2 linked regions of the Arabidopsis thaliana genome follow. The protein of the gene in region 1 interacts with the protein of each later gene in a pairwise test. Each region holds a gene or a part of one and is shown in the gene's direction. Other genes may lie near its edges.

Region 1 (5,496 bases):
GTAACACGGCATAAGAACCGCATAACAGAAGCTACCGATCTTGTCAGTGAGACCAGTACCGAAAGGAGGCGTCTTAGGAGTGACAAGACCGAGAGCCACGGATCCGACTACGTAAGGAAACCCTACAGTTTCAGACAGGAAAGTGGCGGTGCACAACATGACGCAAATGGTGCATAGATGGGAAGCCTTGAGTTTCTTTCCTTCAGGGGTTCTCTTCACTATCCAGTTGAATATTGGTCGGCACACAACTACTATACCAACCAGCAGTAGTACCTTTGTGAAGGTAGGCAGATAAGTGGTCTTGGAGTAATTTTGATGCAAGAAACTGTCAAAGGTAATCAAAAGGAGGAAAAAACCCCAGCCGAAGCAGTTAGCCACCATTATGGAGGAGAGGGCTAACCTTCCGGGCTCCGAGTTCAGCATCTTGAGATTCGACAAAACCGAATACGCCACTTGAAAATACACTACGGATTGGTTTGTTAGTAAATTGTGGAGCTGCTCGGGATTATTTTTCGCCACGGTTCCACGGATGTTGCTCGTGATTACTGTACATGCTATGGCGCCCACCACGTAAGGAAACAGAAAAAGAGATAATCCATTGATGATTGCTAGCTTGCCTCCTCGCTTTATAACTCCCATGTCCACTTGAGCCGTGCTTATGTATGAGATGAACATGAAGGATATTGCCTCAAATGATTCTATTATGAAATAGCTTCTTGTGTTGAATAATTTTTTTACTAAATCAATGTTTTGTCCCAAAGCCGAGGGTCCTAAGAATATCCCAGCCTGTTTCATATATACCAACAAAATATCACACTTCTATAGTTTAAACCTTTTTTTCTTTGCGGGAAATATAGAGAGATCCAAAATTTATTAAAAAAAACGTAGAAAATGGTATGATAAAGTGATTACATACCAGAATTTGAGTGACGAAGTCGACATTTGCGAGAGGGCGGAGAAGAGCTTGGAAGACGGAAGAGAGAGAAGAGACGAGAGAAATGAGAAGAAGAAGAAGAGGAGTTGAATATTTCAATGGATCATCTCCTCTAAGTAATCCGCCAGAGCTTGATCCCAACCATGCCTCGCATACAAATTCATGTGTGCCATTACTTGTAACACTATTGTTCATCTTGTTTCTCTTTGGGAATATTTTTTCTTCTTAAAACTAGTATTCACGTTCTTCTTTATAACCATTTTTGTTTGTGTTTTTGAATTCAGCATAACGCTAACTAATTGAGCAAACAGATCAAGCTTGTTGAGCTGGGGAAGAAGATACATGTATCTTTTTTAAGATATTAAACAGTTTTTGTTGTTTTTTCAAGGATTTTGTGTTGACTTTATTATAACCGTCAGAGAAAAATAGGAAATTATATATGTCATATCTCACTTTGGCAGATGTATTTTTTGGTATTTTACACATTTTTTTTTTATTATAGTTTTATTTTTTTGTTGATCCTGATCTTTTTTAAATTAATACTTATAAGGAGTATTACTAGGTTGATTATTAATTAATCTTTTTTTGTTAGGGATCTAACTTCATGGATTTAGTAGCTAGGTTGGTTATTATAACATCAACATGCAAAATATATATTACAAACACACATGTTTGTGCAATCAATCTCAGGCTATAATGATGATCATCTGACCATGCTCAAGATTTTTGTACCACACAGAAAACATATATAGAAAACCTTAAAAGTAGGATGACCTCTAAAGAGAAATAAAGAACAAGAGGATAAACAACATGTACAATTAAACCCCTAAATATAGCTAGAGAGAGCAGAAACAAAAAAAAGAAGAGAATAATTAATACTTTCTTCTTTTCTTCAACTCACAACACAATCTCTCTCTTTCCCTCTATGGCTTGACTCTTTAGGGGAAATACCTAGCAGGAGGGAATGGAAAATATAACCAAAACTTTTCAGTACGGAGGAGTTGATTGGCTTTGCGAGCCATGGGTAGGTGCAGGCTCTTTGGGGATTGGCCGGGGAGAGAATCCGCTCAAGTTTGCTCTTCCTCTTCTTCTCCTTCAGATTTCTGTCTTTTCCATATTTTCCGTATCTTTTCAGTTTCTTCTTCGGCCTTTTGGAAAATTTGCATTCCTCACTCAGATGCTGGTATACGTTTCCATATCTAAGCATCTATAATTGGAAGCTTTCTAGTGGAAAAATATGGACTAGTCGTCTCAAAAACATGTATAGCCATGCCCATAATGGTGTAAATGTGACTTAATATTTAATAGTGAATTTGTTTGCAGGCTGGGATCTGCTTAGGACCGTCCGTTATAGGACGTAACAAACAGTACATGGCTACATTCTTCTACGCGAGAAGCGTGTACATAATCGAATCCTTCGAGGCCATATGTTTTCTCTTCATTTGCTACATCACAACATGTCAAGTAGACACTAGGATGATAAAGAGAGTAGGCAAGTTAGCATTCATAAACGGCATCTTACTTTTCCTCATACCTTTCGTATGGGGCCAATTCGCGGCCATCTTGATCTCCAAGAGGCTCAAAAGCGGGCCTGCGGGGATCCCTCCCGTGGAGTTCCACCATGTAGCGATCGTCCAGTCCACAATGTTTTTTCAGGTGGTTTACGGAGTCTTGTCGAGCCTAAAGATGTTGAACACTGAGCCAGGGAGGTTAGCACTTGCATCCATGATGGTGCATGACTGCCTCTCTTGGTGTTTTTTCATGCTTAACATCGCCATTAAACTTAATGTTGACTTACCCAATAAAAATCGCGCTGCTTTCTTGTCCGTCTTACAGGTACCCAAGTTGATAAATAATTTCTTAATTAATCTACAAATTTTGCTTTGGAACATCTTCCAATTTTCTTACTATAAAAACATAATTGACTGTGTAAATTCCTACAAAAATAGACAAACTAACTAAGATCCTAATAAAATGCATGAATCCAATAATATTTACGTATAGTATAAACTTGCTTTGATCTATATATACGCTTTTTTATTAATGATATAAAGACGGAAATGAATGCAGATGATAATGATATTGGTGATAGCATATGTGTTCCGACCACTAATGCTGTGGATGAAGAATCGAACACCAGAAGGACACTCTCTCAAGGCCTCCTATCTCTCTGTTATATGCGTCTTGCTCTTCATCTCCTGCCTCTGGGCAGAATTTGTGGGTTTACCTTACTTCTTTGGTGCGGTCGTCTTAGGTCTAGCCACCCCAAAACGTCCGCCTCTAGGCACGGGACTGTCAGACAAAATCGGTTGTTTTGTTTGGTCTGTCCTGATGCCTTGCTACGTCATTGGGATTGGCCTCAATATCGATCTCTCACTGTTTTCCTGGAGAGATGTTATCCGGTTTGAGCTACTTTTTGGGGTGGTCAGGTTTGCCAAAATGATAGCCATTGCCTTGCCTTCCCTTTACTATAAAGTGCCTCTTTGGCACGCCATTCTTGTCGGGTTTATCGTCAATATACAAGGACTTTACGACGTTCAAATATACAAACAGAATTTCAATTACACGGTAACAATAATTCATTTAGGATATACTTTGGAACATATATAATTTTAGGTCAATAACAATCAATAATGGTCAATGGGTGCAGAAAATATCAAGCAAATCTTTTGGAGCAATGGTGATGTCAGCAACGGTAAACTCGACAATTTTCATAGTGATAGTGAAGAAACTGTACCAAACCATGAGCAAACGCAACCCTTACAAGAGACGTACGGTGCAACACTGCCGAGTGGAGGCTCCCCTAAGGATCCTCACTTGTTTCCGGAACCGTGAGGCGGTCCGCCCGGTGCTTGACCTCGTCGAACTCTCTCGTCCAGCCATCGGGTCTCCTCTCTCAGTCTTCGCGGTGAATCTAGAAGAGCTTAATAACCATAGTCTTCCCCTCCTTATCCATCACACGCAAGAGATTAGTCCCTTCCTCGTGCCTAGCCGAAGGGACCAGATCGTTAAGGCCTTCCACAACTTCGAGAAGACTAATCAGGAGACCGTGTTGATAGAGTGCTTCACGGCAGTGGCACCGCGAAAGACGATGCACGAGGACGTGTGTGCGATTGCCTTTGACCAGGAAACAGATATTGTGATCCTAACTCTTGATGCCGGGATCGAGTTATGGGAGAGGCTCCTGTGTCGTAATCTCCTGCACAACTGTCCCTGCTCTGTTGCGCTTTTCATAGACAGAGGAAGGCTCCCAGATTTCAGGTTCGTTCCACTGAAAAAGCTTACCATCAATATTGGTGCTATCTTCTTAGGAGGACCAGATGACCGTGAAATGCTTGCGTATGCAACACGCTTAGCCAGCCATCCAAGCGTCGAGCTCCAAGTCTTCCGGCTCGTGGACCAGAACGGCGTCTCTCCGCTCAGAGACATGGTCGAGAGGAATCACGACATGAGAGTCATCAACGTCTTCCGCAAAGAAAATTCCGAGAAAAACATCATCTTCAGAGAGGTAATGAGAACTATTTTGCCTTGGCTTGGAAGCTATCTTATTTCCCCTTAGACGAAACCTTCTCTATGCAACAGAGGTTTCTATTCGGTTTAGAAAGTTTCTTGTGTAGACGAAACAGAGGTTTTTCTTTATCTAACCTATCATAATGTGTTCCCCTGTTTCTAACATTCTTAAAGGTAAGAATAGAGGAAGCAGTGAATCTACTGGATCTACTAAGGAAGGAAGGGGACGACTTCGATCTGATGATGGTCGGGATAAGACACGAAGAAAATCTTTTGATGTTGGAAGGATTGTCAGAATGGAGCGATATGAAGGAGTTAGGAGAGGTTGGAGATGTGTTGATCTCCAAAGATCTCGAGCTCTCTGTTTCGGTTCTCGCCGTACAGCAATGAGATTGGTGACCGTTTATCTCGTTTTCGTTCCCCGAGTTTATGGATTTGTACAGCCTTTTGTAGAATATTGAATACAAATTTTTTTCTAAAAAAGTTCTACCATTCAAGAAGATATCTTGTTTACTTATATCTTTCAAATCATTCCAGAGCATGTGATCACCAATGAAATTTCAACAGAGATTAACAGATTGTTCAATCATTTGGTTTAGTTAAGTACTTACCATCTTTACTTTTTTTTTTGTAGCTGTTCAGGTTAATGCATTTGCTGCACAAAAAGAACTTATGAATCTTGAACAACTGTGAGGTTGAAATTTGGATTTGCGGAAAAGAAGACCAAGTCCATTAGTTTGTCTACTCTTTTTACTTTTTAATAGCTTCAAAAAACAAACAGAACACAAAATTATTTCACACACAAATAAAGTTGATGTTGAGTAATATCGACACCTCAACAGGTTCAAATTTTACTAAACAGTTAGAAACAACAACAGTAACAATTATCCTACTATGAAACCCTTTGGGATAGACCCAATGGTGACAATGGTGCGGCTCCATAACACTCGTTATTGCTCTTATTTGATCTCCAGGAAATAGTTGATATTGCTCGGCTCACGTTTCCTTCTCTTGGGTAAGGCCGGTGGTTTAGGTAAAGCACCACCACCGCA
Region 2 (4,560 bases), on another chromosome or scaffold:
CTTATAAGAGAACTCGGAAAGGTCTGTGCTCCTCTTGGCTTGCAAGCCTCGCACCTGAACAAGGTTAGAAGTTTGTTTCTTCTTTACCATAACTGTGAATGGCTCAGTTCTCTATTTCTGATATGTTTTCTTTGTCTTCGGTTGTGGTTAGAGGTAAACATACCGGTTTGGTTTCACAAAGGCTCCCTTCCTGCTCCATCTCAGTCGCTTCCGCTCATCTTAGTGGGACCCGGAACCGGATGTGCGCCATTCCGTGGATTCATAGCTGAGAGAGCCGTACAAGCTCAGTCTAGCCCGGTTGCCCCCGTCATGTTCTTCTTTGGTTGCAGAAACAAAGACACAGACTTTCTATACCGCGATTTCTGGGAGTCTCACGCAAGAGAAGGAGGCATGCTCTCTGAAGGAAAAGGCGGTGGCTTTTACACAGCGTTCTCTAGAGACCAACCAAAGAAGGTTTACGTGCAACATAAGATCCGCGAAATGAGCAAGAGAGTTTGGGATTTACTCTGTGATGGAGCCGCTGTTTACGTGGCGGGCTCGTCGACGAAAATGCCTTGTGATGTGATGTCGGCTTTCGAAGATATTGTGTCGGAGGAGACAGGAGGAGGATCAAAGGAGGTAGCTTCACGGTGGCTTAAGGCTTTGGAGAAGACAGGGAGGTACAATGTTGAAGCTTGGTCTTAACTCTCTAACTTCCTTCATATGTAATCTTATTACATATATGTTCTCTGATTATTTTATTGCTGGCACATTAATTTTTATTTTTATTTTGATAATTCATACAAATTAATTAAAAGTGAAGATGATGTGTCGAAGGTTAAGGTTGATATAGATTTAGTTTTGAAATACATATTTTTTTGTTGGTTTGTTTGTTTTTCAAAATCGTTAATTGGATAACACTAGATATTAATTTCTGTTTAAATTTAAATATCACCAATTAAGTAACATGTGTCATGTGATTCTAATTAAAGAGTAAAACTGTTCATTTAGGATTTTTTTAAAATCAGATTTTATAATCAATGCAAAACCTCAACTAGTCTAAATTTCTGAAGAAAGTAGTTTGCTTTTACTTTTTGTATGGAAAGTAGATGACACTGACACGAAAAAAAAAGAGATTAATTTCAGTATTAAACGAAAAAATAATTGCAGAAGCACAGAATAATCGGGCATGCGTGAGTAACAAAATAATTATTCGTCCTCCATTAACCCCATAAAAGCAGTGAGATTTCGATAAAAAAAAATGTGATTTGGAAACAGAAAAAGGAGTTTTCAAACTTACAGAAAAACATTTCTTATACGTCTAAAATTCAAAAAGTTCAAAATACAAAGTCATCTATATAATAATCTAAGCGTAATTATATTATGTTCTTTGATTATCATTATTATATAGAATTTTGTTATTTTTAAAGGTCAACTTATTTTCTGTTTGAAGCTCCATTGGCATCCACAACGAAGCTCTCCTCTGTCTCTCTCACCCACTTTCATAACAACAACAATCATCATTCATCTTCATCTTCTTCAGTGTTCCTCACTTTTTCCGCAATCTTTCTTTTTATCACCGACGAGAAAACAAATAGTAATCCTTTTGAAGTTTTTCACTTTCCTGGGAAATTGCACAATTAATGAGTTTCTATATTTATATTAAAAGTTGAAAATTTAAAGCCTTGTCTCTCTTTCGTCGGTTAATTTGTTTCATCTGATCGAAAAGGAATCAGTTTAGGTCTTTGCCTCCTCTCTCCGGCCAGCTCAATTCTCGATCAAAGGTTTACTCTTTCTTTTTAATTTTTCGATTATTTGAAAAATTACTAGAAATATGTTTTCATCAATAACGATCCTGATCGTTATTTGATCTCACAAGTTTGTTTTCTGATCAAATTTTACTGTTTTTTTGTTTGTCGGTTGATACACTCTGTTTTTCTCAGTTCTTTGGATTAATGCAAATGGGGTTTTTCACTTTTCGGTGTCTCTTATCTCAATTGAGTTTGTCTGTTTCTCTGTTGAAGCAAAGTTTTTATCTTTTTCTTCTTTTTGTGTGGTTATATATGTGGTTGTCGGAAATTTACCTAATTTAGGGTTTTTTCCTGTGTAAGTGCTTGCATTTCACTTTAACAAAACCTCAAGTTAGAGTTGTGAGTGTTCAGAGTTCAGATCGATTGAAACTCTCAGTTGCTACTCAACAGAAATTGGACTTTTGGTTTGTTGAGATGTATTGTTTGAAGTTGCTTTGTTCCACTAGTGTAAAATAACATTCTCTTCTCTGCATCTTTAGACTTATCAAGGAATCAAACCCATTTTATCATTGCAGGTGACGTGGATATATGAAGCAGATGTTTTGGGGAACCAGAGTTCTGTAAATAGAAACCTTCACGCGACGTTGAAAGGTTTTTGAGACGAATATAGGAGGAGAAGATGGGATGTGTTTCTTCTTGCTTCCGGGTCGAGGACATTGATGAGTACATGAATCCAAACAGCTCTGTCTATAGGAACTGTCCCTGCATAAGATGCCTTGCTCATAATTTCCTTAACCTGGTAACTGCTTGCTTCACATTGCTATTTCAGTTTATGCTTCTTATGGTTAGATATCTCGAAAGTTTTCATGTTTCTATAGTTACAATTTCTAGTTCTTGTCACAGTTATTTACTTTGATCTGTAATCTGATTTTTTGAGCCCATATTAATCGTTGCAGTATATTTCGGTCTTCAGAAGAGGGGAAACTCGCTCTCTCCCATCTTCGGTTCAAGCTACTGCATCGATAACTTCCTCTTCTTCACACGATAACTTTTTGTCTGAAGCATTCCGTTCTACTCCAAGACCTCTGCCTTATGATGCTGATCCTAGATACTTCCGCTCACTCGTCTCAAGACGGGAGAAGGGTTCAAGTCATTCTCATGAGGAAGTTGAACCTTTAAGAAGCGATAGCGATGCAGATTCTGAATCTTTCGGGGTAGGAGGGTGCAAATGGGCTAATAATAAGTCCACCCTCTCTGATAAAGATTCCAAAGAAGAGTACTCTAGTAAATCCAGTCTCAGGATTTTGAGATCAAGGTCCAAGTCAATAATGGCCGACTCTGAAAACATGTATATATTGTCTGAAGACGAAGATGTCTGCCCAACTTGTCTTGAAGGTAATAATAATCCCATTCAACAGTCTCCTTTTTGTTCCTTCAGTATTCATATCTTGTTGGTTTTTTGCAGAATATACATCAGAGAACCCAAAGATTGTGACAAAATGTTCACACCATTTCCACCTTAGTTGCATTTATGAGTGGATGGAGAGAAGTGAAAACTGTCCAGTCTGCGGAAAGGTAACCACTTTTTTTTTCTGCATTCTTAGAACGAAGTGCGTATAAAACTCCCGTCAAAGCAAAAGGCCATATGCTTTTCGAAATTGCACGGTCTAGATGATGAAAAGCTCTAATATTTTCCTGGAATTCATAACAATATTGTTGTTCTGATTCATTCTGATTTTTAAAAAGCTCCATTTTCAAATTTCATCATGCTCTTTCCATGGCTTCTTCTGGTTTTATCTGCCTGAGACTCAGATGGTAGAACAAGTGAAAGCATATGTGCGTACAAGTTTCCCGATAAAGAAATAATCTTTTCTTGGAATCCTAACAGTTGTGTTGTTCTGATTCATTCGGATTTTTAAAAAGCTCCCATTTTTGATCCATTGTTCATGTATGCAGGTGATGGAATTCAACGAAACACCGTGATCATCGACCATTGATCCGTGTCCTGTATCTGAACTGAAACCGGGGAAGATGACAAGGCAATGCAAGGAATATAATTTGTAAATTTGGCTTTGTTGGTTTGTGAATATTTTCATTTACAATGGTAAATATATGAAGCAGAAAAGGAGAAACTGTTACTCTGCAACAGTTTAAGTTCCTGAGAAAATTTAACTTCCATGAAACAAGAAGCAATGTTTCTTCTTTAAGTGACTTTTTCTCATGAAATGCCTCTGTTGTTGTATTCTCTAGTCAGTCATCAAAACTCTTACATCATTGTCGTTATATAAATAAATTTTTCTTTTTTTATGTGTTCAATCTAAGGAACTGATGCAGTGATAAAAGTCTTATGAAGTGGGGGAAAAGAGAAAAGAAAACATAATTTAGGGACTGTTTTGTAATATTTTATAAAGTAAAGGTCTTCCGATGTTAATATCAGAAATGTCTCTCCGGAGTCGGTCCCGGAGCTCTCGGAGCAAATGAATGAACGAGACTCATTGCTTCTCTCTTTCCCTCCGTTTCTTACACATTAACTACTCCAAAAACCGAACAAAGACCTTCAGAATTTGCGATTCATCCAATTTCAACATTGATTTGTGAGGTACGGTTTCAGATTCTTTCTCCTTTTTTTTTTGGTTAATTGTGATTCTCGTGCATATGCGTGTGGTGTCATCTTTAGTTATGTAATTCGCGATTAGCTCTAAGATGGGTATTGAAAAACTTGCCTGATTCGTGATCGCTTCTGCTCATTTCTGTAAAAGTCAGAGTTTTGTTCATAAAGTTTGGGTCTTTAAGAAGAATAACAATTTTGTGCATGTTTTCTTCTTTAAAA

The links. Proteins that work in one complex are often made in the same cells at the same time.
Region 2: the proteins of CHX27 (region 1) and AT3G02290 interact in a protein complementation assay, tested with the Arabidopsis thaliana proteins (one large-scale study listed by BioGRID).

Annotation. Positions count from the first base shown.
Region 1 is NC_003076.8:255,512-261,007, forward strand, and holds CHX27 (cation/H+ exchanger 27), read left to right. Parts: upstream 1-1,794; 5' UTR 1,795-1,898; coding exon 1,899-2,117; intron 2,118-2,257; coding exon 2,258-2,770; intron 2,771-3,004; coding exon 3,005-3,502; intron 3,503-3,584; coding exon 3,585-4,442; intron 4,443-4,618; coding exon 4,619-4,834; 3' UTR 4,835-4,979; downstream 4,980-5,496. Other genes in the region: CHX26 (cation/H+ exchanger 26), read right to left, coding at 1-786, 917-1,129; AT5G01700 (Protein phosphatase 2C family protein), read right to left, coding at 5,337-5,496. UniProt on the Arabidopsis thaliana protein: May operate as a cation/H(+) antiporter.
Region 2 is NC_003074.8:456,976-461,535, forward strand, and holds AT3G02290 (RING/U-box superfamily protein), read left to right. Parts: upstream 1-1,765; 5' UTR 1,766-2,409; coding exon 2,410-2,529; intron 2,530-2,686; coding exon 2,687-3,125; intron 3,126-3,195; coding exon 3,196-3,350; 3' UTR 3,351-3,566; intron 3,567-3,686; coding exon of another isoform or gene 3,687-3,713; 3' UTR 3,714-4,021; downstream 4,022-4,560. Other genes in the region: AT3G02280 (Flavodoxin family protein), read left to right, coding at 1-63, 152-684; AT3G02300 (Regulator of chromosome condensation (RCC1) family protein), read left to right, coding at 4,543-4,560. UniProt on the Arabidopsis thaliana protein: Mediates E2-dependent protein ubiquitination.